4 linked regions of the Anolis sagrei genome follow. The protein of the gene in region 4 interacts with the protein of the main gene of each other region in a pairwise test. Links are inferred from orthologs where the notes say so. Each region holds a gene or a part of one and is shown on either strand. Other genes may lie near its edges. The genes, in order: zinc finger protein 397-like, TMPO, IFFO1 and LMNA.

What was found.
Region 1: the proteins of LMNA (region 4) and zinc finger protein 397-like interact in binary tests that used the Homo sapiens proteins (3 or more experiments, as listed by UniProt). The link is inferred for Anolis sagrei from reciprocal best matches to the Homo sapiens genes LMNA and ZSCAN12.
Region 2: the proteins of LMNA (region 4) and TMPO interact in a two-hybrid assay, tested with the Homo sapiens proteins (2 studies listed by BioGRID, with this or other methods). The link is inferred for Anolis sagrei from reciprocal best matches to the Homo sapiens genes LMNA and TMPO.
Region 3: the proteins of LMNA (region 4) and IFFO1 interact in binary tests that used the Homo sapiens proteins (3 or more experiments, as listed by UniProt). The link is inferred for Anolis sagrei from reciprocal best matches to the Homo sapiens genes LMNA and IFFO1.

The regions. Positions count from the first base shown.
Region 1 is NC_090022.1:146,674,413-146,681,969, forward strand, and holds the start of zinc finger protein 397-like, read right to left. Parts: upstream 3,012-7,557; 5' UTR 2,946-3,011; intron 1-2,945. Other genes in the region: RPS26 (small ribosomal subunit protein eS26), read left to right, coding at 3,138-3,140, 5,924-6,101, 6,747-6,877. UniProt on the Homo sapiens protein: May be involved in transcriptional regulation.
Region 2 is NC_090025.1:156,775,844-156,783,853, reverse strand, and holds the start of TMPO (thymopoietin), read right to left. Parts: upstream 3,009-8,010; 5' UTR 2,824-3,008; coding exon 2,560-2,823; intron 1-2,559. UniProt on the Homo sapiens protein: May help direct the assembly of the nuclear lamina and thereby help maintain the structural organization of the nuclear envelope. Possible receptor for attachment of lamin filaments to the inner nuclear membrane.
Region 3 is NC_090022.1:197,318,754-197,326,098, forward strand, and holds the start of IFFO1 (non-homologous end joining factor IFFO1), read right to left. Parts: upstream 3,014-7,345; 5' UTR 2,963-3,013; coding exon 2,172-2,962; intron 1-2,171. UniProt on the Homo sapiens protein: Nuclear matrix protein involved in the immobilization of broken DNA ends and the suppression of chromosome translocation during DNA double-strand breaks (DSBs).
Region 4 is NC_090032.1:22,671,910-22,679,873, reverse strand, and holds the start of LMNA (lamin), read right to left. Parts: upstream 3,016-7,964; 5' UTR 2,986-3,015; coding exon 2,600-2,985; intron 1-2,599.

The sequences.
Region 1 (7,557 bases), on a different chromosome or scaffold from region 4:
AGGGTCTGGAGAATAATCCCTATGAGGAGCAGCTTAAAGAGCTGGGCATGTTTAGCCTGAAGAAGAGAAGGCTGAGAGGAGACATGATAGCCATGCATAAATATGTGAGAGGAAGCTAAAAGAATTGGTAGCTGGGGAATTCTGGAAACCAGAGTACAAAAACCAATATTTTCCAAATACCAATATTTCCCAATACACAATATTGTGAGTATGCCACAATAAGGCAACATCTAAGACACAATTTCCATGATTATTTGAAACATGACACAGGGTTAAACATAGTTTTGAGTTTTTAAGGTCCCCTGGAGTTTCCTGGTTGTGTTGTAATACAGTGGTTGCAGTTCTTGTTAATTTTATTGATACATCACATTTATTTATTTAGTTATTTATTTGGGAATTTTCTGTATCACCTTTCCCCAATGGACTCAAGGCGGTTTACAATAGCATCAAAACATACAATAGAACAGAGACCATTAAAACTAGCCCCGAATAGTTTATATAATCTTCCTCGTAAGACATAAAAACTATCATAAAATAAGCAAAAACATTCTAAAAATTCCCCAAGGAGATAAAATATAATTATAACATGCAAATCCCAGGCTTCTGCCACAAATCAGTTAAAAGCTATTCCAAACAGGAAAGTCTTCAAAATTTTCCTAAAAGACATGAGGGTGGAGGCAGGTCTAATCGCTTCTGGTAGAGCATTCCAGTGATTTGGTGCTCCCCCCCCCCCCCCAAAGCTGGATTCAGGCTGACCACAGTCCCTGTCCTGCCCAGACTTCACGGTCAACAATCAAGATAACAGGAGATCACATCACTGTGCAGGAAAGAAACTCAAAGTTGTTCAAGTTTGTACATGCAACACAGAGTTAATATCTTCTATGAAATACTAGTATTGGTGGGGGGGGGGGGGGTGTCATGCTAAATTGGTCTGGGTCATCCTGTGGTGCTGCCCCTTTAAAATCTTATTGTGGACACTTACCGTAATATCCAAAGCAACCCATAATGGGATAAACAGCTGTGCATCTTGGCTAATGGATATATAAAGAATCTTGAATTATGCCTACACCAGAACCCATTCTCAGCAGCCATGCAATAGGGTTTTTTTATTGTGTCAGAAGTGACTTGAAAATTGGCTGTCTGCAAAGATGTTGCCCAGGGGATGCCTGGATGTGTTACCATCCTGTGGGAGGCTTCTCTCATATCCTTGTATGGGAAGATGGAGCTGACAGACGGGAGCTCATCCTGTCTTGCGGATTTGAACCACCACCCTTCAGGTCAGCAGTTCAGCTGGCACCACAGTTTAAAAGCATCCATCTTCCTTCGTTCTGTCTTCCTTATGGTCCAGCTCTCACATCCGTAGGTTGCCAGAATCTTGGGGGGGGGGGGGGTTACGTTTAACTGCAACCCAGCTTTTGTACTTTCTTCTTGCACCTTGGTAATAAGGTTCCTCAGCTCCTCTTTGCTTTTGGCCATCAAAGTGGTATCATCTGCATATCTAAGGTTGTTAATGTTTCATCCAGCAATTTTAACCCCTGCCTTGCATTCGACAAGCCCTGCACATCGCATGTGTTCTGCATACAAATTGAATAGGTTGGGTGAGAGTATACAAACCTGCCATATGCCTTTCCCAATCTAAATAAAAATGTAATGTTCGTTTGTGGGATTAATATCTCAAAAACCACTGGATGAATTGACATCAAATTTGGACACTATACACCTATCAGGCCAGCGAGTCACCATCACTCGTAAAAACACAATGGGAGGGACTTAAAAAGCCAAAAAAGCAAAAAGACGCAACAGCACATGCACAAAACGACTTCCCCTGGAAAACAAAACACTCACAAGAACATCCATGAAATGCCATATAACACCAGTGTTGCGGCATTTGCACTGGCTTCCAACTGATTACCGTGGTCTATATAAGATGCTAGTTCTGACCTTTAAAATTCTTTACGGCCAGGGTCCATCGTATCTTAGGGACCGTCTCTCATTCTCCCATCATCGGAGGTCGCAACGACCATCCCAAAGTGACTTACTTTATATACCGGGTCCTAGAGAAGTGCACTTGGAAAGGACCAGACGCAGAGCTTTTTCTATTTCTGCCCCTGCCTTATGGAGTTCCTTGCCACCCTATATGAGAGCCATGCGTGAGTTAGGGCCTTTTACCCTAGCACTCAAGACCTGGCTTTTTACTAGAGCTTTTGATCTTTTATCAATATCTGTATGTATGTATTTTTATCCTTTACAATTTTAGCTTGTAAATCGTCTAGAGCATCTTGGATGGAGGGCGATTAATAAATAATTAAATGATGATGGTGATGACAATCGCATATCCACACTCTCTTTTGGACTACAGCTCCCAGCACCCCCTAGACCAGGCTCTTTAGGGGAGGAGGATGATCCAAATGCACTGCTTCCAAGCTACAAGCTTTCTTCTTGGATTTCTTTGAGAGCATCCCAATCCCTACATATTTCCAAATTCCTATTCCTGTACTGCAACTCCCAGCAGTCCTCCAGATAAGACAGATTAGATAGATAGATAGATAGATAGATAGATAGATAGATAGATAGATAGATAGATAGATAGATAGATAGATAGATAGATCGATCAGGAGGACTGCTGGGAGTTGCAGTCCAAAAATTGGTAGAGAAGAAAGGAGAGAAAGCAAAAGGGAAAGAAAAAGGGGGGGGGGAGAGAGAAGGGAAATGGAAGAGAAGGAAGGAGGGAAGGTTGGCTACAGCAACGCGTGGCGGGTACAGCTAGTTTTAGAATAAAACTGGGCAAAACTACAACTCCCAGCATGCATCTCTCCAAGAGAAGCCGTGGGGCATCCGCCGCTGATGCATTGTGGGAGAATTACGTCTTTCTTGAGAATAACCTTCCGCTCCAGAGAGGAGGAAAAATAGTCCCGTCCAAAAACATTGCAGGGGTTAAAACTTACCGGGGTGGAAGTGAGATTGAATTCCCTTTTCGGTCAGTGTGGCGTGAAGGGCGTTTTCTTTCCCTTCGGGATTATTTCTCCCTTCGCGTTGTAGAAGGAAAGTGTGGGCGAAGCACTTCCGTCCTGCGGAGGGAGCGCATATAAGGGCGGCGGAGGGGAAGCCGGACCCTCTTTCGCCTCCTCAGCGTCGAAATGGTGGGTAGCGCACGCGCCACTGGGAGCAGGCCTTGGGATTATTAGGGGACAGCAGAAGGCTCGGCAAAAAAGAAGGGGGGGGGGGCTTTGGGATAGGAATAATTAACACGAGCTGCGGTCATCTTTGAGGGTATCCGTGTAAGCTGGGGTTTTGGGGTGGGTGAATACAATAGCCATGGCCTACCATCTCCTTGTAACAGATTCCTTGCGAATCTTCCAAGTGAGCCATCCCCCCCCCCCCTTGGAAATGGTACGCTCTCCCCTTCCCCCGTTAGAATACGGTAGCTGGGCCCCCGTTCTGTTGAGGCGCGAGGCTCCCAGCAGGCGGAAGTTTCACGCCTCGCGCTCTCTCTAGGCCTCCCGACCGGGAGGAAGTGACGTCTGAGAACGCGAGGCCTCGTTCGGGCCCAATTTCAAGAGGAAATAATAAAAAGCGCTGTTCGCCGTTGTGGTGCCTGTTTGTGTTCGCAACAACTTGCTTGTAGGCCCTCTGGTGATTGCCACTTTGATTAACGAGATATACATTCTGTGTGGTTTTTTAAAAATACGCCTTTACCGTAGAGTTAATGCAGTTTGACCCCCGCTTTAACTACCATGGCTCAGTGCTATGGGATCTTGGGAGTTGTAGTTTTACAAGGGCTTTAGCCTTCTCTGCCAAAGAGGGCTGGTGTCTCCCCAACTATTAACTCCCAGGATTCCATAGCATTGAACCAGGTTAAAGTGGTGTCAAACACTGCTCTCGCTCCCGCCTGCCTTGCATGTGCGATTGGCAGAGACGAAGGACAGCTTCCTCAGTGGTGGCCCCCCAGCTATGGAACTCCCTCCCCAGAGATATTAGATCAGCTCCTTCCCTCATGATTTTCCAAAAAAGAAAAAAGGAAAGACCTGACTCTGAGCAAGCTTTTGAGAATGCAGTGGAATGGATAACACAGAACTATGAATGATGAACATGGAGTGGCCAGACGATGTTTCTGGATAATGTTTTTAACAGGATGACACCGATGATTATATGCTTTAATGGTTTTTATATGTTTTATATTGTAATGTTGATCGTTTTTAATGGCACTTTTATGAATGCCTGAGACTGAGCTGTGCCGATCTGTAACCCGCCTTGAGTCGCCGTATGGCTGAGAAAGGCGGGCTATAAGTATCGCAAATAAATAAATAAATAATTCCACAGTGAAGGTGCCCCCATGGATACATGACGACACCTGAGACTGAGCCAATCTGGAGAGAGTGTGAGCAGGGAAATGGGAGGGGGGTTTGGTCATGCCTCACTTCAATGAAACAAGGCAGCCAAATACCTGTTTAACTGTTAAGTCAAATTGAAAATGAATGCAAGGCCTTAGTAAAGGCTTTAAAGGCAAGAAATAGAACAGTTGTTGTTGAACAAAACGTATATCTAGATTACAAAGCCCTAAATGGTTCCGGCCCAGCTAACCTGTCCAAACGTTTCTCCCCCTATGAACCATCTCAGAGGTTAAGATCTTGTGGGGAGGCCCTGCTCTTGGTCCCTCCTCCTTCACAGGTGCGATTGGTGGGGATGAGAGACAGGGTCTTCTCAGTGGTGGCCCCTCACTTGTGGTACTCCCTCCCTAATTAGTGCAGTTCAGCCCCCTCCCAGTGTTCAGAAAACTAAAAACATGGATGTGGAACCAAGCTTTCAGACATTAATCTCAGTGCAATAGGTGAATGCAGAATGGTGCAATGACAGCTGGAATGGTCTCGGACTATGATGTTGGATTACATGATTTTAATAATTGGCTTTAATGTTTGAGATGTTTTTAGTGGTATTAGTGTATATTTTTATTTTTGTTGTACGTATTTTTGTGTGGCATCGAATTGTGCCTTATATGTGAGTCCCCTCCAGGGTGGAAAATAAATAAATGGATTGGTTGGCTGGATACTTTGAGATTGCTGTTCTGTCAAAGGCTCAGAATTGCCTTTAGTTCAAATTTGTAACTAATGTTGAGTTGCATAAGTACATAAAATAGTGCTATGCATCTGCCATTGTCCTATTGTCTCATCTAGTCCAGCCTTTTCTTAAATTTTTAAAGAAAAAATCCCCTGTTGAAAACAGGAAATAACTTTAGTGGAGCTGCTGTTTAACTAAAAAATGAAGCATATGCATCTTCTAAGTCCTCTCTCGTTAGCTGGGATATAGGAAAGCCTTGCTAGATCAAACTTAAGTAAGGGCCATGAAATTGAACAGTCATTTCAAGAAATAGTAGTTTGGCCTTATTACTTCTGTCTAATATCAGATCACAGCCCTGAGGCCCCATCCAACTATCATGACTGTATCAGGCCTCCTTTTACATGCTATTAGACTAGTTGCCCTCATAGATGTTGTGAGAAACTGGTGCTCTTATCCAGAAGCTCACAAGTAAGGGATTATGGTGATTCTAGTCTTTTTGTAGTCTAGAGATGTATTGAACATGGAGTTTTGAATTACTTTGGAATTTGGGTAACTTGAGCAACCATCTTAGTGCAGAAGTCCACTACATGATATTGTGCAAGTCATACTTGGCCTCAAAGGAAGGCAATGGAACACCTTCTTTAAACAAATCCTGCTAAGAAAACCCAATGATAAGGGGTTGCCATATATTGAAGGTACAGAACAACAAGGATGAATGCTATATACATAACCTATGCAAGATAACCGAGGCTACTTACTTCAGCATAGGTTCCACTCTTGTTTGCCCGATAGTTTGCTTACATTAGTCATATGTGATCTCAGGGAAGGATATGGGCACCTATTAATGTTTTCTTTTCTGTTTCAACAGACGAAGAAGAGAAGGAACAACGGCCGCGCCAAGAAGGGCCGTGGGCATGTCCAGCCTATTCGTTGTACCAACTGTGCCCGCTGTGTCCCCAAGGATAAGGCTATTAAGAAGTTTGTCATCCGAAACATTGTAGAGGCAGCTGCTGTCAGAGACATCTCCGAAGCAAGCGTCTTTGACTGTAAGTACTTTCTGCCACCACACATGTTTTATTTTACCATTCTGTAAGTGATGAGATACAAAATTAAAGGATGATGTTGTGGGACTGTACAGAGGAGCTGCTAGAGTGGCAAGGCTCTGTGGCCTCTTACCTCAGCTCCATTTTTGAACAATTCTCCAATATCTTCCAGGGGACAGTTTTGCAAGGTTTCCCCGCCCCCTCCCCAGGCCCTGAAAATTTAAGAGCAAATAACATAAATAAACCTAAGTGGGAGGCAAGTCCCAAGCTGTAGATGGCTTGCAAAATTCGTCAGAATAAGTAAATGAATAGTGTGATTAGATATCTTGTCAAGACATGTTATTTAACCACCATAACTGAAAAGAAAAAGTCTTTGTGTGGAAAAAGAGTAGATCCATCTGTCACGGATTGCTAACTGAAACAAGTTGGATGTTCACCATGTGTTGTTTTTGCCTGAATAAACCTGAAGGCTGTATATGATTTTAAACTCCGGGGAACAATTAAAAGTGTTTTCTTACAAATCATTTTCCTTTGGAAAGTTTTTCACCCACAGGGAGACATAGAGGCGTTGCTGGAAGTGCCTGGCTGACTTGGACCTTTCTGAAATGACTGTAGTTCTGACCCTGCTGTTTGTCCCTCTTTTCCCAGCCTATGTGTTGCCCAAGCTCTATGTGAAGCTTCACTATTGCGTGAGCTGTGCCATCCACAGCAAGGTGGTGAGGAACCGCTCCCGTGAGGCTCGGAAGGACCGCACCCCTCCTCCCAGGTTCAGGCCTGCAGTAAGTAGACTGACTCCAAAGATGGAGGCTCACTTACATTTAATTGAAATGAACACTTTTGATATCAGAGGTGAAGCCCTCTCATGCCTGCTGGGCCTCTTTGTATTGCACTGTGCAATCATGTAAATAGATGAGATGAACACTTGTCATGTTCAGAGATAGAAAGACAAGAAATGGTATCTAAAATATACTAAAATATTTCTCCATGGATATGTGATGGGGTACCAAGAAATATGGGTCGCCGGTGCCACAGCGGGTTTAACCACTGAGCTGCTGAACTTGCTGACTTGAAAGGTTGATGGTTCAAATCAAGAGAGTTGGGTGAGCTCCCGCTGCCAGTCCAACTCTTGCCAACCTAGCAGTTTGAAAACATGCAAACACTAGTAGATCAATAGGTACTTCTTCTGCAGAAAGGTAACGGTACACCATGCAGTCGTGCTGGCCACATGATCTTGGAGGTGTCTATGGACAACGCCGGCTCTTTGGCTCTGAAATGGAGATGAGCACCCCCCCCCCCCCCAGTCAGACACAACTAGATTTAATGTCAGGGGAAACCTTTACCTTATCAAGTAATATAAATTATTTATTTATTTATTTATTTATTTATTTATTTATTTGATGCACTTATTAACCGCCATTCTCAGCCCATTAGGGCGACTCATGGCGGTGTACAATACACG
Region 2 (8,010 bases), on a different chromosome or scaffold from region 4:
CCATATTGTGCCTTTTAAATTTAGAAGTATTTCAAATTGATTTTTTTCATGCCAGGAACGACTTGAGAAACAGCAAGACGCTTCTGGTGTGAGAGAATTGGGCATCTGCAAGGACGTTGCCCAGGGGACGCCTGAATATTTGGTGTTTTATCATCCTTGCGGGAGGCATCACTCAGCATGGGGAGCTGGAGCTGATAAAGGGAGCTCAACCTGCTCTCTCTGGATTCGAACTGCTGACCTATTGGTCAACAGTCCTGCCAGCACAAGGTTTTAACCCAGTGGTTCTCAACCTGTGGGTCCCCAGATGTTTTGGCCTCCAACTCCCAGAAATCCTAACAGCTGGTAAACCAGCTGTGGTTTCTGGGAGTTGAAGGCCAAAACCACTGGGGGCTCCTTCAGATGGATTGAAACATAATTTAAGCGTGTTTTAAAGGAGTTATATAGAGACAGGATGCCATTTATGCACCCATAGAGAGAACAGCAAAAGAGGAGCTTGAAAGAAGTAGGTATGTTGTTGTGCATCCTCAATCACTTCCCAATTATTCCTAGGGCTGTGAGTGTGTGACTTGCTCAAGGTCACTCAGTGGGTTTCTAAAAAGGCGCAGGCAGTCGAAACTGGCTTCCAGAGTTGCTCACAGCACTACAGCAAGGTACTGGAAGCAATCTCCACTCCTGCCTAACAGGGAATGCATCACACTGCAGAAAAAATTGAGAGCACTTTAACTGCTATGGAATCCTGGGAGTTGCCGTTTGGTGAGGTCCCCACTCTTGGGCTGAGAAAGATAAAGCTATTGTAAAACTACAATCTCCATTATTTCATAACATTGAGCCACTCTACAGCAAGCATGCCCTAGTACTGATCAGGCATGGGCAAACTTTGGCTGGAATTGTGGGAGTTGGAAGTCCAAAACACCTGGAGGGTTAAAGTGTGCCCATGCCTGGTGTTGATGCACTTGGTGTTTCAGATCCGCAACGCGAGCCGCCTCCTGACAGGCTTTCCCCAGCAGCGCAAGGATCCAAGGCGAGCCTGTCTCCCAGGCGGAGGGCCAAAGGATTTCCTAGGGCTGAGAGTGTGTGATTCGCTTAAGGTCACCTGGTGGGTTTATAAAGCAGAGGAGACAAAGTCTGGCCTCCAGAATTACTCACAGTACAATAACAGGGTACTTGGAAGCAATCCCCACTCCTGACAAATAAGGAGTGCATCACACTGCAGAAAAAATGCAATTTGAGACCACTTTAACTGCTATGGAATCCTGGGAGTTGCCATTTGGTGAGGTGCCTACATTCTTGGCCTGAGAAGACTACAAACCTACTGTTTTCATAACACTGAGCCACTCTAAAGCAGGCATGGGCAAACTTTGGTGCTCCGGGTGTTTTGGACTTCAACTCCCACAAATTCTTAACAGCCGGTAGGTAAGCTTTTAGGAATTTGTGGGAGTTTCAGTGCAAAACACCTGGAGGACTGAAGTTTGCCCATGCCTGCTCTATAGTGTGGATCAGGCATGGACAAACTTTGGCTGGAATTGTGGGAGTTGGAAGTAGATTTACTCGGGAGGTCTCCTGAGGCTGGCGAGACTATCGCTCGGGCAGAAGGCCAAGGGCAGCACGCCTTCCTGCAGATTTGCAGAAGTGAAACTGCCTGACGCTGGCTGGCAGGACGCCCACCAAGTTCAACGTTTCTGAGCGGGACTTGTGGACACGCCTGTAAGAGGAGGAGGAGGAGGCAGGCAGCGAGTGGAGGACCCACCATCTTCATTGACCGTTTAATGCTGCTTCAAACACTTATTGAAGAAAGTGGCTTCTGTGTGCACAGGTGGAAACCCTGGGACCAACTTGAGGCCCTGATGCAGATCAGGCATGGGCCAACTTGGGCCTTCCCTCCAGGTGTTTTGGACTTCCATTCCCATCATTCCTAACAGCCTCAGGCCCCTTCTTTTTCCCCCTCAGTCGCTTAAGCGGCTGAGGGGGGAAAAGAAGGGGCGTGAGGCTGTTAGGAATGATGGGAGTGGAAGTCCGGCTTAGGGGAAAAAAGAAGGGGCGTGAGGCTGTTAGGAATGATGGGAGTGGAAGTCCGGCTGAGGGAGAAAAAGAAGGGGCCTGAGGCTGTTAGGAATGATGGGAATGGAAGTCCAAAACACCTGAAGGGAGGGCCCAAGTATGAGCTATCTCGACCTACTAATTTGTGTGTGGCTTCTGATTGGCCAGCCTCAACATTCCAAAGCGGCTGAGGGGGGAAAGGAAGGGGCCTGAGGCTGTTAGGAATGGTGGGAGTTGGAGTACAAAACACCCCAAGTTGGCCCATGTCTGCAATATCCCAAACCGCAGAGGCACACGAAGGGCTTTTCTTCCGCGCGCTTTTGTGGGAGTTTGAAAGGCATTAAACGGTGCCTCCCGAGTGAGGCTGAGGGAGGCCCTTCCTCTTCCCTTGCCTTCCCCTCAAGTGACCAAACATGGCGCCGCCCCCTCTGTGAGAAAAGCGGGAAAACTCCGCCGCCCCCTCAGCGCTTGGGGAAGGAAGGGGGGCTCCGGGGAAAGCGGGAGGTGGGGGTCGCTTCTTACCCGGCCTGCGGAGGCTGCAGCCGCGCCCCCTCCTCCTCCTCCTCTGTTCCTGGCGGCCGGGGCGCGCTCCCGCTCCTCGTCGCTGGAGAAGTCTGGCTGAGCGGGGGGCCCCGGGGCGTTGCGGGCGGTGAGGTGCTGGAGGTAGAGCTGCACATAGACGTCCTTGCGCTGCTCTCCGCCGGGGAGACTCACGTTGTTGGCGATCAGCTCGCTCTTGAGCTTCTCCTTGGTGAGCACCGACGGGTCGCTCAGGAACTCGGGCATCGTCAGGCTCGGAGAGAGAAGGGCCCGCCAACAAAGAGTGCACCCAGGGAGGGAGGGAGGGAGAGACAGGAAGAGAGGAGGGGCGGAAGGAGAGAAAGGAAACCTCGCGAAGGGTCGGCCCCCCTCGCCTAACGCTCACACAGAACACACAACGGACGGCTTCGCCTGCCCGCCAATAACGTGCGCCGCGATTGGCTGCCGCGCGCGAGAAGCGGCCCTGGGATTGGTTGCGTCGCCGAGAGGAGAGCCGCTCGCCTTGTTTGTGTGTGCGCGCGCGCGCACTGGGCCGCGTCACAATCAATCCGTACCTTGCGCGAGCTCTGGTCACGCAGTTTTAAATTCGACTCAGGCGGGAGAGGAAGAGGCGCCCCGGGCAACCACCACCACCACCACCACAACAGCCTCCCTCAAGGCTCCAAAGCGGGAGTGGGTGCTCGGCCGGGGAGGACCCTTTTTCATTGATGTTAAAAGAGGGTTTTTAAGCGCAATTAATCTCTCGCCACAAAGGACAATAACAAAACAAAAGCGCGCTATGGAAGAGACAAAACGCACACGTGTTATGTGAAAAACTCCCGTGGATATTATCCACTTCGCCTAATGCGCACTTCTGAGAGGGAAATCAACCCAGATACAAGTTGAGCAGCCTTTATCCGTACTCCGTCTACATGGATGGCTGACACTTCTGCTTTCTGATGGTTCAGTGAACACAAACCTAACCAAAGCTAAGCTAACCAGACCTAACCCAAGCTAAGCTAACCAAAGCTAACCTAAAACATAACCAAAGCTACGCTAACCTAACCAAAGCTAACCTAACTTAACCAAAGCTAACCTAACAAATTGAGCAGCCTTTATCCGTACTCCGTCTACATGGATGGCTGACACTTCTGCTTTCTTATGGTTCAGTGAACACAAGAATTGTTTCATGCACAAAATTATTTAAAATATGTATAAAATTCATTTGTTCAGTCGTTTCCGACTATTCATGACTTCATGGACCAGCCCATGCCAGAGCTCCCTGTTGGCTGTCACCACCCCCAGCTCCTTCAAGGTCAATCCAGTCACTTCAAGGATACTATCCATCCATCTTGCCCTTGGTCGGCCCCTCTTCCTTTTTCCTTCCATTTTCCCCAGCTTCATTGTCTTCTCTAAGCTTTCCTTCCTTCTCATGATGTGGCCAAAGTACTTCATCTTGGCCTCTACTATTCTTCCCTCCAATGAGCAGTCAGGCTTTATTTCTTGAAGTATGGACTGGTTGGAGCTTCTCGCAGTCTAAGGCACTCTCAGAACTTTTCTCCAACACCACAGTTCAAAAGCATCTATCTTCCTTTGCTCAGCCTTCCTTATGGTCCAGCTCTCACATCCGTAGCTTACTACGGGGAATACCATGGTTTTAACTATGCAGATCTTTGTTGCCAATGTGATGTCACTACTCTTCACTATTTTATCAAGATTGGACATTGCTCTCCTCCCAAGAAGTAAGTGTCTCCTGATTTCCTGGCTGCAGTCTGCGTCTGCAGTAATCTTTGCACCTAGAAATACAAAGTCTGTCACTGCCTCCACATTTTCTTCCTCTATTTCCCAGTTGTCAATCATTCTTGTTGCCATCATCTTGGGTTTTTTTATGTTTAACTGCAACCCAGCTTTTGCACTTTCTTCTTTCACCTTGATTAGAAGGCTCCTCGGCTCCTTCTCGCTTTCGGCTATCAAAGTGGTGTCATCTGCATAATGTATAAAATTACCTTTAGGCTAATGGTTGAACAGAAGCTCTCTGAAGTTTTAGGTCAGTGTTTCTCAACCTTCCTAATGCCACGACCCCTTAATAGAGTTCCTCATGTTGTGGTGATCCCCAACCATAAAATTATTGTCATTGCTACTTCATAACAGAATTCTAAGGGAGGCAACCACAGGATTTCAGATGGGATGCATACTCTGCCTGCTCCAGTGTTTCTCGACCTTCCTAATAGATTTATCTCAACAAAATATACATGTGCTATGACTAAATTGAGATTATCTACTTCTCTTTTTGAAAATATTGACCACTCAAGAGGTTCATTAAGATGCAACCCCTTAATACAGTTCATCTTGTTGTGGTGACCCACAACCACAACATCATTTTAGTTGCAACTTCATAACTACTTTTGCTACTGTTATGAATTGTAATGTAAATATCTGTTATGCAGAATGTATTTTCATTCACTGAACCAAGTTTGACACAAATACCCAGTATGCCCATATTTGAAAACTGGTGGGGTTTGATTTTGTCAGTTGGGAGTTGCAATTGCTGGGATTTATAATTAACCTACAATCAAAGAGCATTCTGAACTCCACCAACAATGGAATGAAACAATCTTGGCACACAGAACTCCTATGACCAACAGAAAATATTGGAAGGATTTGGTGGGCATTGACCTTGAGTTTTGGAATTGTAGTTCACCTACATCCAGAGAGCACTGTGGACTCAAACAATGCTAGACCTGGACCGAACTTGGCACAAATACTCAATATGCCAAAATGTGAACACTAGCGGAGATGGGGAAAAGAGACATTTGGGAGTTGTAGTTGCTGGGTTTTATAGTTCACCTACAATCAAAGAGCATTCTGAACTCCACCAACGATAGAATTGGGACAAACTTCCTCCACAGAACTCCCATGCCTTGAAGAGACTTGCTGGTGCAAGCCTCCCTCCAGCCTCGAACGCTCTCCCTCATCCACAGTGCACACCACGCTGCCATGTGCTGAGAACGCCTGCTTTCCCCTCCCCTGCTTGTAGTCTCAGAAACAGCCCTCCCCTTGGCTGAGAGGCCAGTCAATCACAGGAGAGGGCTTTTGGTGGAAGGATTCCCCGGCTTTTTCTAGAAAGGAAGAAAAGGACAGGCGGAGAGATCTTCAGCCTTCTCTGCCAAAGGGGTTTCTAAGACCATCAGAAATATATGTTTTCTTCCTAAAAAAGAGGACTGGTTGAAGAAAGTTTTGGAGGTAATGAACATGGACAAGTTTACTTACTGGATTACTCCCAACCAAGGACTTCCAAACAAACAAATAAACTGGGGCCTGGTTAAAAACTACTTTAAGCAATTAAATATTGACTTAATATGACTAAAATAATACTCACAAGAAGATTAAAAATTACAGGGATGCTTAGACTGATTTTGCATTTTGCCCGTTCGGAAGGCTAACTATTACAATTCTACAGCCACCGAAGAATAGAAGGAAGTCAAACCATTTATGTAACCTTTTTTCTTACTTTATTTTCTTTTTTTCCTTCTTTAATCATTCTCTTTACCAATTTCTCTCTTTTTCTAAGCTTTTCTATCCAAAAATTGTTCTCACTTTTGATGTTCCATTCTTTACTTACCTATGATATAATTCAATAAAAAGCTTTTTTAAAAAAAAAAAAAAAGAAATATATGTTTTCTGATGGTGTCTTGCAACCCCTCTGAAACCTCCTCACAACCCCCCCAGGGGTCCTGACCTTCAGGTTGAGAAACGCTGCACTACTGAAACAGTACTGGACTGTTTTCTGATAGTCTTTGGCAACCCCCAGGTTGAAAAACACTGCTTTAAGTGCTCTTACTGCCTATTATTGGGAAAACCAGCTGATTCCTTATCCATCTAAAATGCAGACGTGTGCTTTTCACCTTAAGAACAGACAAGCATCTCGAGCCCTGAGGATTACCTGGGAAGGAATCCCACTGGAGCATTGCAGCACACCAAAATACCTGGGAGTCACTCTGGACTGTGCTCTAACCTACAAGAAGCACTGATTGGCTATAAAAAAAGTGGGTGAGAGAAATAATATTATATGAAAGCTGACTGACACAACCTGTGGATCACAACCAGACAGAGTGAAGACATCTGCCCTTGCGCTTTGCTACTCTGCTGATGAATATGCATGCCAGTGTGGAAAACATCTCACCACATTAAAACAGTGGATGTGGCTCTTAATGAGACATGCCGCATTATCACAGTGAAGTGGATGATCTTTTTCCTAGGCTGCAAATCGGCGGGCGCAGGAACAACAAGACAGGCAGTCAGGTTCTTTCAAGAAAGCAGTTTACTTAGAAGTCAAGCAGCTGCCTGGGTCGCCTCCTACGCAACATGGCGCCTGGTGGAAACGATACAGGCCTCAAGCCATGTGGCCTTTTTATACAGTCAAAGGGGTTCGGTTTAGGACCGCCCCGGAACAAAATCATTGGTTCAAAGTTGTGGTGCAGTTTAATAAACATCCAATCATCCCCTGCCACCCAAACATCCAATCACCACCTGCCACCCTTGCCAAGCCCCTCCCTAACCCCATACTGCCCCCTATCCCATGAGTACTGGTAACTTCCCCAACTTCCATTTTGTAGTTCCACCTTATTCCCCCCCCTTTTTTTTTCAAAAACCCGTCCGACCTCGGAAGTCCAATTTTCTAGGGAAATTGGAAAAGCTTCCAGTAGACCACAATGAAATATCAAACAACCATCTTAACAATTCTACAAATGTGAAAATGACATTATCATTTGAGTAAAACAATATAAACATTTTATGGATCCCTCCAAGTCTTACTGGGTTGAAACATAGCAACTTTTTCCACCGTTGGGGTCTGAATCATATACTTGGTACACATTTGCATAACTATGGGAGAACAACATAGTACGATGAAAAATACAAACAAGCCTAGCATAAAAATCATCAATATTTCTTTTATCCATGTTCCTGAGGGCAACCAATCGGTTAACCACGAGAAGGGGGACCATCTCAGATCTTCTTTTACATTGTCATTTATTAAGTTGTGTAACGTTTCAAGATCATCCTTAATGGTAGAGTTCAGGTTATGGAACCTAACTATGCACTGGGGCCCCACCATCTTACAGAAACCTCCTTTTGCAGCCAGCAAATAGTCTAGAGCTACCTTTTGCTGCATAATCATCTGGCTTAACTCTTCAACTTCAGTCTGTAAGGCCCTTACAATCTCCCCAGTGGCGTTCACACTCTTCTCCAATCTACAGGTGAGGCCTAAAATACTCCTCCTATTTTCCTGAGAGATGATCCCTGGATAGGACCCGAGCGTCAGAGTCCCAGTGAGTAATCCTCCAATCACCCTTGCCCCCTCTGAGTAGGACAAACCTTGTCCTATTATAACCTCGTCCGAGCACCCTGCCCCTAGGGGCCCTGTTTGGTAAGTTGTCCTCTTTTTCCGTGCTC
Region 3 (7,345 bases), on a different chromosome or scaffold from region 4:
CTCCCTCCTCCCTGTGGCTTCCTCTCACATATTTATACATGGATATCATATCTCCTCTCAGCCTCCTCTTCTTCAGGCTAAACATGCCCAGTTCCCTAAGCCGCTCCTCATAGGGCTTGTTCTCCAGACCCTTGATCATTTTAGTTGCCCTCCTCTGGACACATTCCAGCTTGTCAATATCTCTCTTGAATTGTGGTGCCCAGAATTGGACACAGTATTCCAGATGTGGTCTAACCAATGTTGTCTCTCTCCTTCTCACTCTTAAGAGACACAAAGAGAGAGGGAGAGAGAGGCAATACTTCTCTGCAACCCTGTTCCCAGACCCATGAAGCCAGGTTTGTGATATTTGGACAGGTTCTGATTCAAGAAATGCAGTGCCCCTTTCCCTTCTGAGAAGGGAAGCTCTCCAGTCAGAAGCCCTGAGTTTAGGCTGAATTTGCCCCTTTCTGGATTGTTGTGAGTTTTCCGGGCTCTATGGCCATGTTCCAGAAGCATTATCTCTTGATATTTCACCCATATCTATGGAAGGCATCCTCAGAGGTTGTGAGGTCTGTTAGAAACTAGGCACATGAGGTTTATATATCTGTGGAATGTCCAGGGTGAGAGAAAGAACTGCTTGAGGCAAGTGTGAATGTTGCAACTGGCCACCTTGATTAGTGTTTAATGGCCTTGCAGCTTCAAAGCCTGGCTGGTAACTGCCTGGGGGATCCTTTGTTGAGAGGTGTTATCTAGCCCTGATTGTTTCTTGTCTGGAATTCCTCTGTTTTTTTTGTTTTGTTTTGGGGTTTTTTTTAGTGTTGCACTTTATTCACTGTCCTGATTTTAGAGTTTTTCAATACTAGTAGCCAGATTTTGTTGATTTTCATGATTCCCTCCTTTCAATTGAAATTGTCTACATGCTTGTGGATTTCAGTAGCTTCTGTGTGCAGTCTGACATGGTGGTTGTGAGAGTGGTCCAGCATTTCTGTGTTCTCAAATAATATGCTGTGTCCAGGTTGGGTCATCAGGAGCTCTGCTATAGCTGACTTCTCTGGATGAAATAGTCTGCAGTGCCTTTCATGTTCTTTGATTTGTGTTTGGGCAATGCTGTGTTTGGTAGTCCCTATGTAGACTTGTCCACAGCTGCATGGACATTATAGGGATATATAAATCTCACTGGCCTAGTTTTCAACAGACCTCACAACCTCTGAGGATGCCTGCCATAGATGTGGGCGAAACGTTAGGAGAGAATACTTCTGGAAAATGGCCATGCAGCCCAGAAAACTCACAGCAGCACAGTGATGCTTGTGGATTTAAATGTCTTTTCTGTATAGTCCAACATGGTGGTTGTTAGAGTGATCCAGTTGTTAAAGATGCCCATTTCTTTTTCTCAGGCCAGATCTTTCAAAAAGTTTTCCCTTTTGGCCCCCCTTTTGACATTTCAAAATGACCTTAAGCTTAAGCAGATGAAAGGGAAAAGGAAAGGGCCCGAGGCTGTTAGGAATGGTGGGAGTTGAGGTCCAAAACACCTGGAGGGCCCAAGTTGGCCCATGCATGAGCTATCCCCGCCTACTAATTTGCATATGGGTTCTGATTGGCCAGCCTCTAACATTCTTAAGTGGCTGAGGGCCTGAGGCCCTTAGGAATGGTGGGAGTTGATGTCCAAAACACCTGGAGGGCCCAAGTTCGCCCATGCATGAGCGATCTCCACATACTAATTTGCATATGGGTTCTGATTGGCCAGCCTCAACATTCTAACATTCTTAAGTGGCTGAGGGGATGAAGATGTTAAGAATGGTGGGAGTTGGAGTTCCAAAACACCTGTAGGGCCCAAGTTGGCCCGTGCATGAGCGATCTCCACCTACTAATTTGCATATGGGTTCTGATTGGCCAGCCTCTAACATTCTTAAGTCTCTAAGGGCCTGAGGCTCTTAGGAATGGTGGGAGTTGACGTCCAAAACACCGTGAGGACCCAAGTTGGCCCGTGCATGAGCGATCTCCACCTATTAATTTGCATATGGGTTCTGATTGGCCAGCCTCAACATTCTAACATTCTTAACCGGCTGAGCACCTGAGGCTGTGAGGAATGATGGGAGCTGCAGTCCAAAACACCAAGCCTGCCCAGGCCTGAGCCTAGCTCCCTTCCTGTGCCCCGGATGCCACCCCTTCCAATCCCTCTCTTCCGTTCTCACCGTCGCTTGTACTCGTCGCGCTCGCGCTTGACTTTGGCCAGGACGTTGTAGAGGGCGCGGATTTCGGGGGTGATGGTGTCGATCTGGACGCCGACGCCGTCCGGGTGGAGCCAGGAGACGCCGGGCCCTTGCACCAGCGTGGTCTCCGGCCCGGGCCCCAGGCGCCGCGGCTGCGAGAAGGACCAGATGGTGCCCGGCAGGAAGCGCGTCGAGGCGGAGGAGGAGGAGGAGGAAGGCGAGGCGAGGCTGCTGGGCGCCAAGGGGGCTCCCGGGTGGCAGCCGGGGGAGGCCAAGCTCCGCGCGGGGTTGGGACTGGGGGAGCCCAGCACCCGCGGGGCGATGCTTCCCGCCAAGGGCAGCCCCAGCGGGCGGATGGGCCCCACGAAGCCCGTCTGGACGCCTTGGTCGCGCCGGGAGATGCTGGAGCGCCGCGCGCTGCCCCCTCCTCCTCCCCCTCCTCCGTTGCCTCCCCCTTCGAGGGCCTGTTGGAGCTGCTTCTCCAGCTGCCGGTTGCGGCGCTCCAGCTCGTGCACTTTGGCCAGGAAGCATCGGAAGCGCAGGTTGAGGGTCTTGAGCACGTTGATGTTGGAGCCCAGGTCGTTGCGGAGCGCCATGGCGGAAGAGGAGGAGGTGGTGGTGGTGGAGGAGAAAGGCTCCCCGAAGGCCGGGCCCCACTCTTCCTCCTCGTCCTCTTCCTCGCCCCTTCTCCCTCCGCCCGGGAAGAGCCCGAAAGGAGAGTCCTGCTCCGCCTGCGGCAGGAAGAAGAGGTTGGGCCCGAATAACGGGTTCATGGCTGCGGCGCCCGGCGGGGGGACTGCGGCGCCGGGCGGGATGGGGAGCCCAGGGGGCGTGGCCAGGACGCGGGGGCGCCCAATCCGGAGCCAGCTGCCTCCAAAGGGGCGGGGCATCCCGGGGAAAAGGGGGCGAGCGGGCGGGCGAGCGGTGCGGCTGCGGAGTGCGCGTGCGCACGGGGCTGGGTGGGAGCAACTGAGGTTCCCCATTGGGTCCACGACTGCATTGCTTACATCCCTTCTTGCTCTTCCTTTCTTCCTAGCTGTCAATATGGCCGTATAATCCACAATATCGGAGCCCCCGGTGGCGCAGTGGGTTAAACCCCTGTGCCGGCAGGACTGAAGACCGGCAGGTCGCAGGTTCGAATCCGGGGAGAGGCGGATGAGCTCCCTCTATCAGATCCAGCTCCTCATGCGGGGACATGAGAGAAGCCTCCCACAAGGATGATAAAAACATCAAATCAACCAGGCGTCCCCTGGGCAACGTCCTTGCAGACGGACAATTCTCTCACACCAGGAGCGACTTGCAGTCACTCCTGACACTACAAAAAAAAATTCCACATTATCAAAGCAGACAATCTATTATCTTCTTTGAGCTGGATTCAATGAGTCTGTGACAGAATGAAAATCATGCATTGCTGTTCATTCGTTCAGTCGTTTCCAACTCTTCGTGGCCTCATCGAACAGCCCACGCCAGAGCTCCCTGTCGGCCGTCACCACCCCTAGCTCCTTCAAGATCAATCTAGTCACTTCAAGGATGCCATCCATCCAACTTGCCTCTTCCTTTTTCCTTCTATTTTCCCCAGCATCATTGTCTTCTCTAAGCTTTCCTTTCTTGTCATAATACGGCCAAAATACTTCATCTTTGTCTCTACTATCCTTCCCTCCAATGAGCAGTCGGGCTTTATTTTCTGAAGTATGGACTGGTTGGATCTTCTGGCGGTCCAAAGGCGTAGTTCGCACCTTTATCAATCCACACATTGTCTTGCTAGAGAAAAGATAGGTCACACAGGTGATCAGTAAAACCAAGGTGTTTACGCTTTATTATGCAGAGCGACAGGCAAGTTTGACTTGGCCATGGTAGTCCATGCTCTTGTTACATCCCATATAGACTACTGCAATGCACTCTACATGGGGTTGCCTTTGAAGACTGTTCAGAAGCTTCAAATGGTCCAACGAACAGCAGTCAGGGAGCGTACAACTCCTCTGCTGTGCCAGCTCCACTAGCTGCCAGTTTACCACTGGGCACAATTCAAAGTGCTGGCTTTAGCCTGCAAAGGCCTACATGGGTTCGGTCCAACTTACATGTCCAAACACACCTCCCCTTATGACCTTAAGATTGTCTGTGGAGGCCCTGCTCTCGTTACCGCCTTCGTCACAAGTACATTTGGCGGAAACAAGAGACAGGGCCTTCTCGGTGGTGGCCCCTCGGCTATGGAATGCCCTCCCTATAGATATTAGATCGGCCACCCCCCTTTTAACATTCCGGAAAAAAGTCAAGGCATGGCTTATGAACAAGCATTTGTAAATGACTTCGTTTTTTAACGAGGATACACTATGAATTTATATTTTACTGATTTTTTTGGTTTTTATTATTTGTTATGTTTTTAATTGTATTTATGACATTGCAAGAATTGAATTTTTCCCTGATAACCACCTTGAGTCGCCTATGGACTGAGAAAGGCGGTATACAAATACAGTAAATAAATAAATAAAAGGTAAAGGCTTTCCCCTGACATTAAGTCTAGTCTTGTCCTACTCTGGGGATTGGTGTTCATTTCCATTTCTAAGCCAAAGAGCCAGCATTGTCCATAGACACCTCCAAGGTCATGTGGCCGGCATGACTGCATTGAGCGCCGTTACCTTCCTGCTGGACTGGTGCCTATTGATCTACTCACATTTGCATGTTTTCAAACTGCTAGGTTGGCAGAAGCTGGGGATGACAGCAGGAGCTCACACCACTCCCCAGATTAGAACCTGCAAACTTTCGGTTAGCAAGTAGAGCAGCTCAGCCGTTTAACCCACTGCACCACCAGGGGCTCCATATATACAGTCATGTGAGCATTGACTCACACAATGTCCTTTGAGGGAGATTCAAATGTTCTTTAGGTGTCCATTTGAATGACCTTCTTCCAGCAGCTCAGAAGCAGAAAATATACTAACGTGTCTTGGCAAGCTCCTGCACAGAGGAACCTAAAAATGTAACTGATGCCAAAACTCCCAGGCTCAGCTAGCCTCTCGGGTGTGTTGTGGGAGGGGGAGCAATTGAGGTCCTTTCTACCCTGGGTCCACTACTGCATTGCTTTCATCTCTTCTTTCTCTTCCTTCCATCATAGCTGTCGCTATGGCCATATAATCCATATTATTATCAAAGTAGATAATCCACATGATCTGCTTTGAACTGGATTAGATGAGCCTACACTGCCATATAATCCAGTTCAAAGCAAATAATCTGGATTTTATATGGCACCATAGAAGTGATTCGAATGTGGAAGGATGGGTGTTTGGTTTTTGTAATTCTTCATATATAATGCATATTGGGGGTGGCATTTCATGTGTGTGTGAATCATATCTATCTATCTATCTATCTATCTATCTATCTATGGCTGGATGGCTCTTTGTCAGGAGGACTTTGATTACGTTTTCTTGCCCTGATGAAGGGAGTTGGATTGGGTGGCCTTAAGTATTTTCTGTTGGTCATGGGGGTTCTGTGTGGGAAGTTTGCCCCGATTCTGTCGTTTGTGGGGTTCAGAATGCTCTTTGATTGTAGGTGAACTGTGAATCCCAGTGACTACAACTACCAAATGTCAAGGTCTATTTCCCCCAAACTCCATCTGTGTTCATATTTAGGCATATTGAGTGCTTGTGCCAAGTTTGGTCCAGATCCATCATTTTTTGAGTCCACAGTGCTCTCTGGATGTAGGTGAACTACAACTCCCAAACTCAAGTTCAATGCCCATCAAACCCTTCCAGTATTTTCTGTTGGTCATGGGAGTCCTGTGTGCCAAGTTTGGTTCACTTCCATCGTTGATGGAGTTCAGAATGCTCTTTGATTGTAGGTGAACTATAAATCCCAGCAACTATAACTCCCAAATGACAAAATCATAATTTTTTGAGTGATGGTTACTCCTTGTGTTGTAAGACATTTTGTTGCCAAATTTGGTGTGATTTCGTTCATTGGTTCTTTTGTTTTTAAGGTACTCATTATGCACAGAGCATTTTTATATATATAGATAGCAACTCAGCCCCGGTCCAGGGAGCCGTGGGTTAAACCCTTGTGCCAGCTGAATTGCCAGCTTCCCATGCACGAGAGAAGCCTCCCACAGGATGGTAGCACATCCGGGCATCCCTTGGGCAACGTCTCTGCAGGCGACCAATTTTCTCACACCAGAAACAACTTACAGTTTTCTCAAGTCGCTTCTGATATAATAAAACAAATCCCAGACCACATCAAGATCCTCTGAAGATGCCAGGCACAGATGCCAGGCAGAATGTTGGGAGAAAATTCCACTAGAACGTGGCCACACAGCCCAGAAACCACACAACACCCCTGCCAAAAGATCACCTTTAAAAAACGGTTGGATTTGAACATAAATCATTCTGGCTGATCTTGGAAGCCAAGCAGGGCCTGCTCTGGCTAGTACTTGGATGGGAATAACTCATAAATCCCAGCGTAGAAGCAAAACCACCTCTGAATATTCATTGCTTAAGAAAACCCTATTAAATTAATGTGGACAGGAGGCAGAAGGTACTTGCAGAGTGGGCAAGCTATAAGGGAATTGCGGATCTCCCACAGAAATCTCGCCAACGTGTGGAAACCTGGAACACAAGAGCTGCTCCAAGTAACTTTCTCCATATAAAAAGACTTTATGTATTAAAACGTTGGCCCACATACAACACTGACATAGCTATAGTGGCAGCTGCCCAGTGTTATGTAACAGCTGTGGAAAACATGAAAATCTGCCGGTAGGGATTTAGGACAGGAAAGGAATGTAAGTAAAACCTCACAATATGGTAAGGCTAACTTGGAAGACCATATATTATTAAATTATCATCTCAACCCATCACAGATGGGGATAATACAAGATCTGGGCTTTGCTGTTGTGTGCCTTCAAGTGTCATGACTTATTTCTAGTCAGGCCATAAACATCAACATGGGGCATACACAACTGCTGCATATCTATATAAATTAAAATGTAATGTTCATTTGTGGGATTAACATAACTCAGAAACCACTGGATGAATTGACATGAAATTTGGACACAAGACACCTATCAGGCCAACAAGTGACCATCACTTATAAAAACATTGAAAAACACAGAAGAGACTTTAAAAGCCAAAAACCAAAAAATACATTGCAACGCATACACAAAACCACATATA
Region 4 (7,964 bases):
GGAGGGTCCTGCCACATGGCTTCCCGGCCACACCCTGAAAGGGCTGCCAAAATGGAGATGGAGGGAAAGGAAGCCTGGTTTCTCCGCAAGGTGCTGGGAAGGGGCCCCCAAAGGGCATCTAGTCCGACTCCATTGCAAAAAGTGCAGCAAAGGAGGGGAAGGGGTTCAACGGCCCTGCCTTGCTTCCTTCCCAGAAAGGGATCTCTGGCCTTCCTGGGAAGAATCCAAGGTTCCCCCAGCAAACTTAATAGGATTCCACCCCCCTCCATGTAATCATCATCATCATCATCATCACTATAATATAATTGACTGGTTGCTGATGACTCAATAAATAAATATCATTACTACGACTCTATATATCATTATATAGTATTGTTTTCTTTGCAACCTTTTTTCTCTGGAAGGAGACTAAAAGTGGCTATGCATATATTACTATTACTTGATTATTATATACCCCTTTCTCCACAATTTATTTCATTATTGATTATCATTTTATTCTATATTTATATTCACTCATTATTTTTATTTATTAGGTGATTATCTGTCACATTATAAATAACTAATAGTTTTATAATTGTTGGGTGGCTGTGAGGTGTAGGCCTTCCCTCCCTCCCTCCCTCCCTCCTTCCAGGTGTTTTGGACTCCAATTCCCAGCATTCCTGGCAGCCTCAGGCCCTTTCCTTTTTCCCCCCAAGGCATGCTGGGAGTTGGAGTCCCACTCTCCTGAGGGGAGGCCTCTGACCTGGCCTTGAGCTTCTTGTGCTCCTCGCAGGAGGAAGGAAAGAAGGAGGGAAGGAGAGAAGGAAGGAAAGGAGGGAGAGAAAGAGGGAAAGAAGAAGGGAAAGAAGGAGTGAAGGAGGGAAAGAAGGAAAGAAAGAAGGGTAGAGAAGGAAGAAGGTGGAAGAAAAGGAGGAAGGAGAGAAGGAGAGAAGGAAGGAAAGAAAGAAGGATAGAGAAGGAAGGAAGGAGAGAAGGGGGAGAGAAAGAGGGAAAGAAGAAAGGAAGGAGAGAAGGAAAGAAAGAAAGGTAGAGAAGGAGGGAAGGAGAGAAAGAAGGGTAGAGAAGGAAGGAGGGAAGGAGAGAAGGAAGGAAAGAAAGAAGGGTAGAGAAGGAAGGAAGGAGAGAAGGAGGGAGAGAAAGAAGGGAAAGAAGGAGGGAAGGAGAGGTGGAATGAAAGAGAGAGAGAGCAAAGGAAGGAAGGAAGAAAGGAAGGAAAGAGACGAGGAAGGATGGAACGAAAGAGCAAAGGAAGAAACTGGTAGAGAAAGACGAGGAAGGGAAAGAACAGGGAGGGAGGGAGGGAGGGAGGGAAGGAAGGAAGGAAGGAAGGAGAGAAAGAGGGAGGCAAGGTTGGCCACAGCAATGAGTGGCAGGGTAGGGCTAGTATAATATAAATAGCTTGTAATTCATATAATATAAGTATCTTCCCGATGAGGCCTAACAATAATAAATAGCATAACAATTCATAATTTATAATAAGATTCTAGGGCTGGCCTGCCTCCTTTGAGATCCACTTGGGGGGGCCTTCTTCCCTTGAGGGGGTTTGGGACTCCAACTCCCATCATTCCTGGCACCCTGGTGCCCTTTCCTTCCCCCCTCCCCCAAGGCATGTTGGGAGTTGGAGTGTCAAGCCAGTCAAGGGGAGGCCTGGCAATATGATTCTAGGGCTGGCCTGCCCCCTTTGACTCCAACTCCCATCATTCCTGGCACCCTGGCATCCTTTCCCCCTGAGGCCTGCTGGGAGTTGTAGTCCCCTGGCGAGAGGGTGTGTGTGGGGACCCCCGGGCCTTCTTCCCTTGAGGTGTTTTGGACTCCAATTCCCATCATCCCTGGCCTCCTTTCCCCTTTCCCCCTGAGGCCTGCTGGGAGTGGTAGTCCCACTCTCCTGAGGGGAGGGGGAAGGCCTGGCAAGGGGGCCTTCTTCCCTTGAGGTGTTGGGGACTCCAATTCCCATCATTCCTGGCATCCTGGCGCCCTTTCCTTTCCCCCCAAGGCATGCTGGGAGTTGTAGTCCCAAGCCATTCAAGGGGAGGCCTGGCAATATGATTCTAGGACTGGCCTCCCTCCTTCCTTTGAGATCCACTTGGGGGGGGCCTTCTTCCCTTGAGGTGTTGGGGACTCCAACTCCCATCATTCCTGGCACCCTGGCATCCTTTCCCCTTTCCCCCTGAGGCATGCTGGGAGTGGTAGTCCCAAGCAGGTCAAGGGGAGGCCTGGCAATATGATTCTAGGGCTGGCCTTCTTCCTTTGAGATCTACTTGGGGGGGGGGGAGCTTCTGACTCCAATTCCCATCATTCCTGGCACCCTGGGGCCCTTTCCTTTTCCCCTGAGGCATGCTGGGAGTTGTAGTCCCACTCTCCTGAGGGGGGGGAGGCCTGGCAAGGGGGCCTTCCCTTGAGGTGTTTTGGACTCCAATTCCCATCATCCCTGGCACCCTGGGGCCCTTTCCTTTCGCCCCTGAGGGGGGGGGCAGGCCTGGCAAGGGGGCCTTCTTCCCTTGAGGTGTTTGGGACTCCATTTCCCATCATTCCTGGCACCCTTTCCCCCTGAGGCCTGCTGGGAGTTGTAGTGTGGACACCCCCTGAGGGACGGACTGACCTGGCCTTGAGCTCCTTGTGCTCCTCGCGGGTCTTGGCGAGCTCGAGCTGGAGCCTGGCCCGCTCCTTGGCGACGGAGTCGAGGGTCTTTCGTGCGTCGGCCAGCTCGGCCTCGTAGGCGCCCTTGAGCCCGCTGACCTCGCGGCTGACCTCCTCCTCGGACTCGCAGATCCGGAGCCGCAGCCCCGCGTTCTCCGACTCCAGAGAGCGGACCTTGTCGATGTACACCGCCAGACGGTCGTTCAGCTCCTGCAGGTCCTCCTTCTCCTGCAGCCGCGTGATCCGAGCCGGGGACAGAGGGGTCCCCATGGAGGAAGAAGACGAGGAGGCCGAGGCCCCGGCTCCAGTGCTCCGCGTGCCGCGCTTCCCGCCCACCGAGGACTCCATCCTGACAGGAATGCCGCGGCTGAGGAGAGCAGCACGCCTTAAATAGCCTCGCCCACCCCCAGGCCACGCCCCCTCCTCACTCACTCCCTCCCACAACAAGGCCGCGCCTGCGCACAACACACGCCTCGCCTCAAGGCTCTCTATCCCAAATAGATTCGCCTCCCTGGCCACGCCCCCTCCTCTTCGCCACGCCCCCTCCTCTCTCCCTCCCTCTCTCCCACAACAAGGCAAGGCCGCGCCTGCGCACAACGCATGCCTCGCCTCAAGACTCTCTATCCCAGAGACTCCCTCCCTGGACACGCCCCCTCCTCTTCGCCACGCCCCCTCTCGGCCCACAACAAGGCCGCGCCTGCGCACAACGCACGCCTCGCCTCAAAGCTCAATATAAGACTCTCTCTCTCTCTCTCTCCCGCCTCCCTGGACACGCCCCCTCCCCTTCGCCACGCCCCCTGCTTCCTCCCTCCCTCAACAAGGCCGCGCCTGCGCACAACGCACGCCTCGCCTCAAGACTCCAGGCTCCATTTCTCCCAAAGAGACTCCCTCTCTGGACACGCCCCCTCTTCTTCGCCACGCCCCCTGCTTCCTCACTCCCTCCCACAACAAGGCCGCGCCTGCGCACAACGCACGCCTCGCCTCAAGACTCAATATAAGACTCTCTCTCTCCCGCCTCCCTGGACACGCCCCCTCCCCTTCGCCACGCCCCCTCCTCCCTCCCACAACAAGGCCGCGCCTGCGCACAAAATACACCTCGCCTTGCCTTAAGACTCAAGGCTCTCTATCTATCCCAAAAGGGACTCCCTCCCTGGACACGCCCCCTTCTCTTCGCCACGCCCCCTGATTCCTCCCTCCCACCCTCCCACAACAAGGCCGCGCCTGCGCACAACGCACGCCTCGCCTCAAGACTCCAGGCTCTCAATTTCTCCCAAAGAGACTCCCTCTCTGGACACGCCCCCTCCTCCTCGCCACGCCCCCTTCTCCCTCCCACAGCAAGGCCGCGCCTGCGCACAACACACGCCTCGCCTCAAGGCTCAATATAAGACTCTCTCTCTGGGCCAAATAGACTCGCCTCCCTGGACACGCCCCCTCCTTCTCGCCACGCCCCCTCCTCCCTCCCACCCTCCCACAATAAGGCCGCGCCTGCGCACAACGCACGCCTCGCCTCAAGACTCCAGGCTCTCCATCTCCCCCAAATAGACACGCCTTCCTGGCCACGCCCCCTGCTTCTTGCCACGCCCCCTGCTTCCTCCCTCCCGCTCACAGCAAGGCCGCGCCTGCGCACAACATACACCTCGCCCTGCCTTGGAGTCAAGACTCTCTACCTCTCCCAGGCCTGGGCCAACTTGGGCCCTCCCTCCCTCCCTCCCTCCCTCCCTCCTTCCCCGTGTTCTGGACTTCAACTCCCACCATTCCCAGCAGCCTACCGGGTTGGGACCCAGCTGCATTAAAATCACGACTGAGTTCAAAGCCAGCCCAGGTTGGAGTAAGCTCCCGACCATTGGTCTAGCTTGCTGTCCACCTTTGCAGCCCCAAAGACAGTTGCCTCTGTCAAGTAGGAAATTTAGGTACTGCTTATGCAGGGAGGCTAATTGAACTAATTTTCTTGTTGTTCATTTGATCAGTTGTTGCAACTGTCAAGTAGGAAATTTAGGCTAATTTAACTAATTTATAATGCCCTAAAACTCTCCAGCAACATGCAAAGGAATGAGGAAGTACTCCATCAGTGTCACAAGTGGATGTTGAAGTGACAGCTCCCCTTTGAAGCCCAAAAGACAGTTGCCTCTGTCAAGTAGGAAATTTAGGTACCACTTATGCGGGGAGGCTAATTGAACTAATTGATAAATATTTTTTTTGTTGTTGTTTATTCGTTCAGTCGTTTCCAACTCTTTGTGACCTCAGGGACCAGCCAACATCAGAGTGCCCCGTCGGCCGTCACCTCCCCCAGCTCCTTCAAGGTCAATCCAGTCAATCTAGGAATTGTGGGAGTTGGAGTCCACAACACCAGGCCTGCTCTCTCCACATCCCTCCACCCATCTCTCTAGGCATTGTCCAGTGATCATAAACACCACCATAAGGAAACACTCTACATTGTGGTGCAGTTTGGAAGAGGATGGACCATGGACGATGGGACTTGCAGTACCTTCACTGCCTGAGACCATTACAGCCCACACCAATGACTGATCAAGACTAAACTGGACGCACAGAGCCTCCATGACCCACTCTACATCCTGGTGAAGTTTGGAGGAGGATGGATCATGGACGATGGGATTTGCAGTACCTTCACTCATTTCCTGAGACCACTATGACCACCAGGAATGATGGATCAAGAGCAAACTTGGCACACAGAGTCCCCATGACCCACTCTACATACTGGTGCAGTTTGGAGGAGGATGACCATGGATGATGGGACTTGCAGTACCTTCACTGCCTGAGACTATTACAGCCCACACCAATGACTGATCAAGACCAAACTTGTCAGCCCCCGTGACCCAATCTACATCCTGGTGCAGTTTGGAGGAGGATGGATCATGGACGATGGGACTTGCAGTACCTTCACTCACTTCCTGAGACCACTGCAACCCACACCAATGACGGATCACGACGAAACTTGGAACACAGAGCCCCCGTGACCCATTCCACATCTTGGTGCACTTTAGAGGAGGATGACCATGGATGATGGGACTTGCATATGGGAGTTGTAGTTCACCAGCACCCACTGTGCATCCTTGTGCATCAATCTGCCCATGTTTATGTACCTCACTCTCTGTCATCTTGATGCCAAGGGCACCCCAGCCCCCTGCTTTCAAGCTCATCTGACCAGCCGCAGGGGGTTCCGCAGTTCCTTGGATGCTCCATTGGGCAAGCGCTGATGAAATATGCCCCAGCAGCAGCCTAAACCAGTGACTCTTTGCAACCTTGAGCTCTCTCCTTTCGTTTCTTTCCCCTGCCCAAACATTGTAACTAAACCCTTAATAAAGACTAATTGAATTGTAACCTTCACCTCTTCGTAGTGATACATTGTGTCCCATTCCTGACTCACAAGTATGTAATGCATGAATTCAACCTTTTCCGGGGTGTGGGAAGCCACTGGCCCGCCTGGGATGCCTTCTAGGCATCCCAAGGAAGCCGAAACTGCGTTTCTTCAAACCGCGGATACGGATACACCTCGGGACCCCGTATCCGCGAGTTGACGGATTGACTCACCGCCTGGGATGCCTTCCAGGCGTCCCAGGGAGGGCGAAACTGCGTTTCTTCAAACCGCGGATACGAAAACCCCTCGGGGCCCCGTATCCGTGGGTGGACGGATCGACTCTCCAACGTAGCGATCCCCTGCCCAAACATTGTAACTAAACCCTTAATAAAGACTCACTGAATTGTAACCTTCACCTCTTTGTAGTGATACATTGTGTCCCATTCCTGACTCACCAGTATGTAATGCATGAATTCAACCTTTTCCGGGGCACGGGAAGCCGCTGGCCTGCCTGGGATGCCGAAACTGCGTTCCTTCAAACCGCGGATACGGAAACTCCTCGGGCCCCCATATCCGCGAGTTGACGGATTGACTCGCCAAAGTAGCAATCCCTCTTTGGTGGGGCCGCAGGGTCTCTCCTCTGACTAGACCCTTTCAAATTCCCTATCGACTTCAATCTATCTGTCTGTTCATCCACTTACCTACCTACCCATTCATCCCTCCATCTATCTATCTATCTATCTATCTATCTATCACACAAGGAATCTCAAAAGTACTGTATAGGAACGAGAACTAGGAAGACACTGGGGAAGACAAGAGCCAGGCGCAGGCCGGAGACCCCACCCGACACTCTTTGACTGTTTAATGGGTTGCTGTGGGTTTCCGGGCCCTGTTCCAGTGTCCGTCTTTCCTGACGTTTTGCCTGCACCTGTGGCTACGGACCCCCTCAGAGGATTCTTCAGAGCGCCTTGGAGAGCCCAGTGCCGGGCTGTTTCCCATTTGCAAACGAGAGGCTTCCCAGGAGACCAAACAGGCCTCAAGCTGGACGCAGGGAGGAAAACCCAGACCGGTTTCCCGGCAGTGAGTCACTCCCGTCGCCACGGCAACAGAGGCACACATACATGCCACACGCACATATACACACAGACAGCTTTTTTACAGGAGCCAGTAATCTAATATCTGGCCCGCATCACGGCAGGAATGAGTCACGGCTGGATGGGGAGGGAGAGCGGAGGCCAGTCTCTTCCCCTCTTTCTCTCAAGGGGGGGGGGAAGCCCCCAGGCGGCGGGGGAATCCGGCTCAGGAGCCCAGAACACATTTGGGGGAGCTCCCCCCCCCATAACGCCTTGGGGGCCTGCCTGGGAGGGAAGACCTTCAGGACCGGCAGGCTGGGGATCAACACCCAGGGTCTCTCTCTCTATCATCTATCTTTCCATCTGTCCGTCATATCTCTGGCCATCAATCTACGGCTGGGTGGCCATCTGTTGAGAGGAGTTTGATGGTGTCTTCCTTGATGGCAGAAGGGGGTCGGACTGGATGGCCCTTGGGGATCCCTTCCAACTCTAGCATTCTAGAATTGATCTTTCTCTCTCTCAATCATCTCTCTCCCTCTCCACATGTCAGTCATCTCCATGGCTGGATGGCCATCTGTCAGGAGGGGTTTGATGGTGTCATCCTTGATGGCAGAAGGGGGCTGGGCTGGATGACTCTGGAGGGTCCCTTCCAATTCGATGATCTCTCTTTCTCTCTTAATCATCTATCCCTTTCTCCATCTGTCAGTCATATCTCTGGCCATCAATCTATGGCTAGGTGGCCATCTGTTGAGAGGAGTTTGATGATGTCTTTCTTGATGGCAGAAAGGGGCCGGACTGGATGGCCCTTGGGGATCCCTTCCAACTCCAGCATTCCATGATATACTCTCTCTCTCTCTCTCTCTCAATCATCTATCTCTTTCTCCATCTGTCAGCCATATCTCTGGCCATCAATCTACAGCTGAGTGGCCATCTGTTGG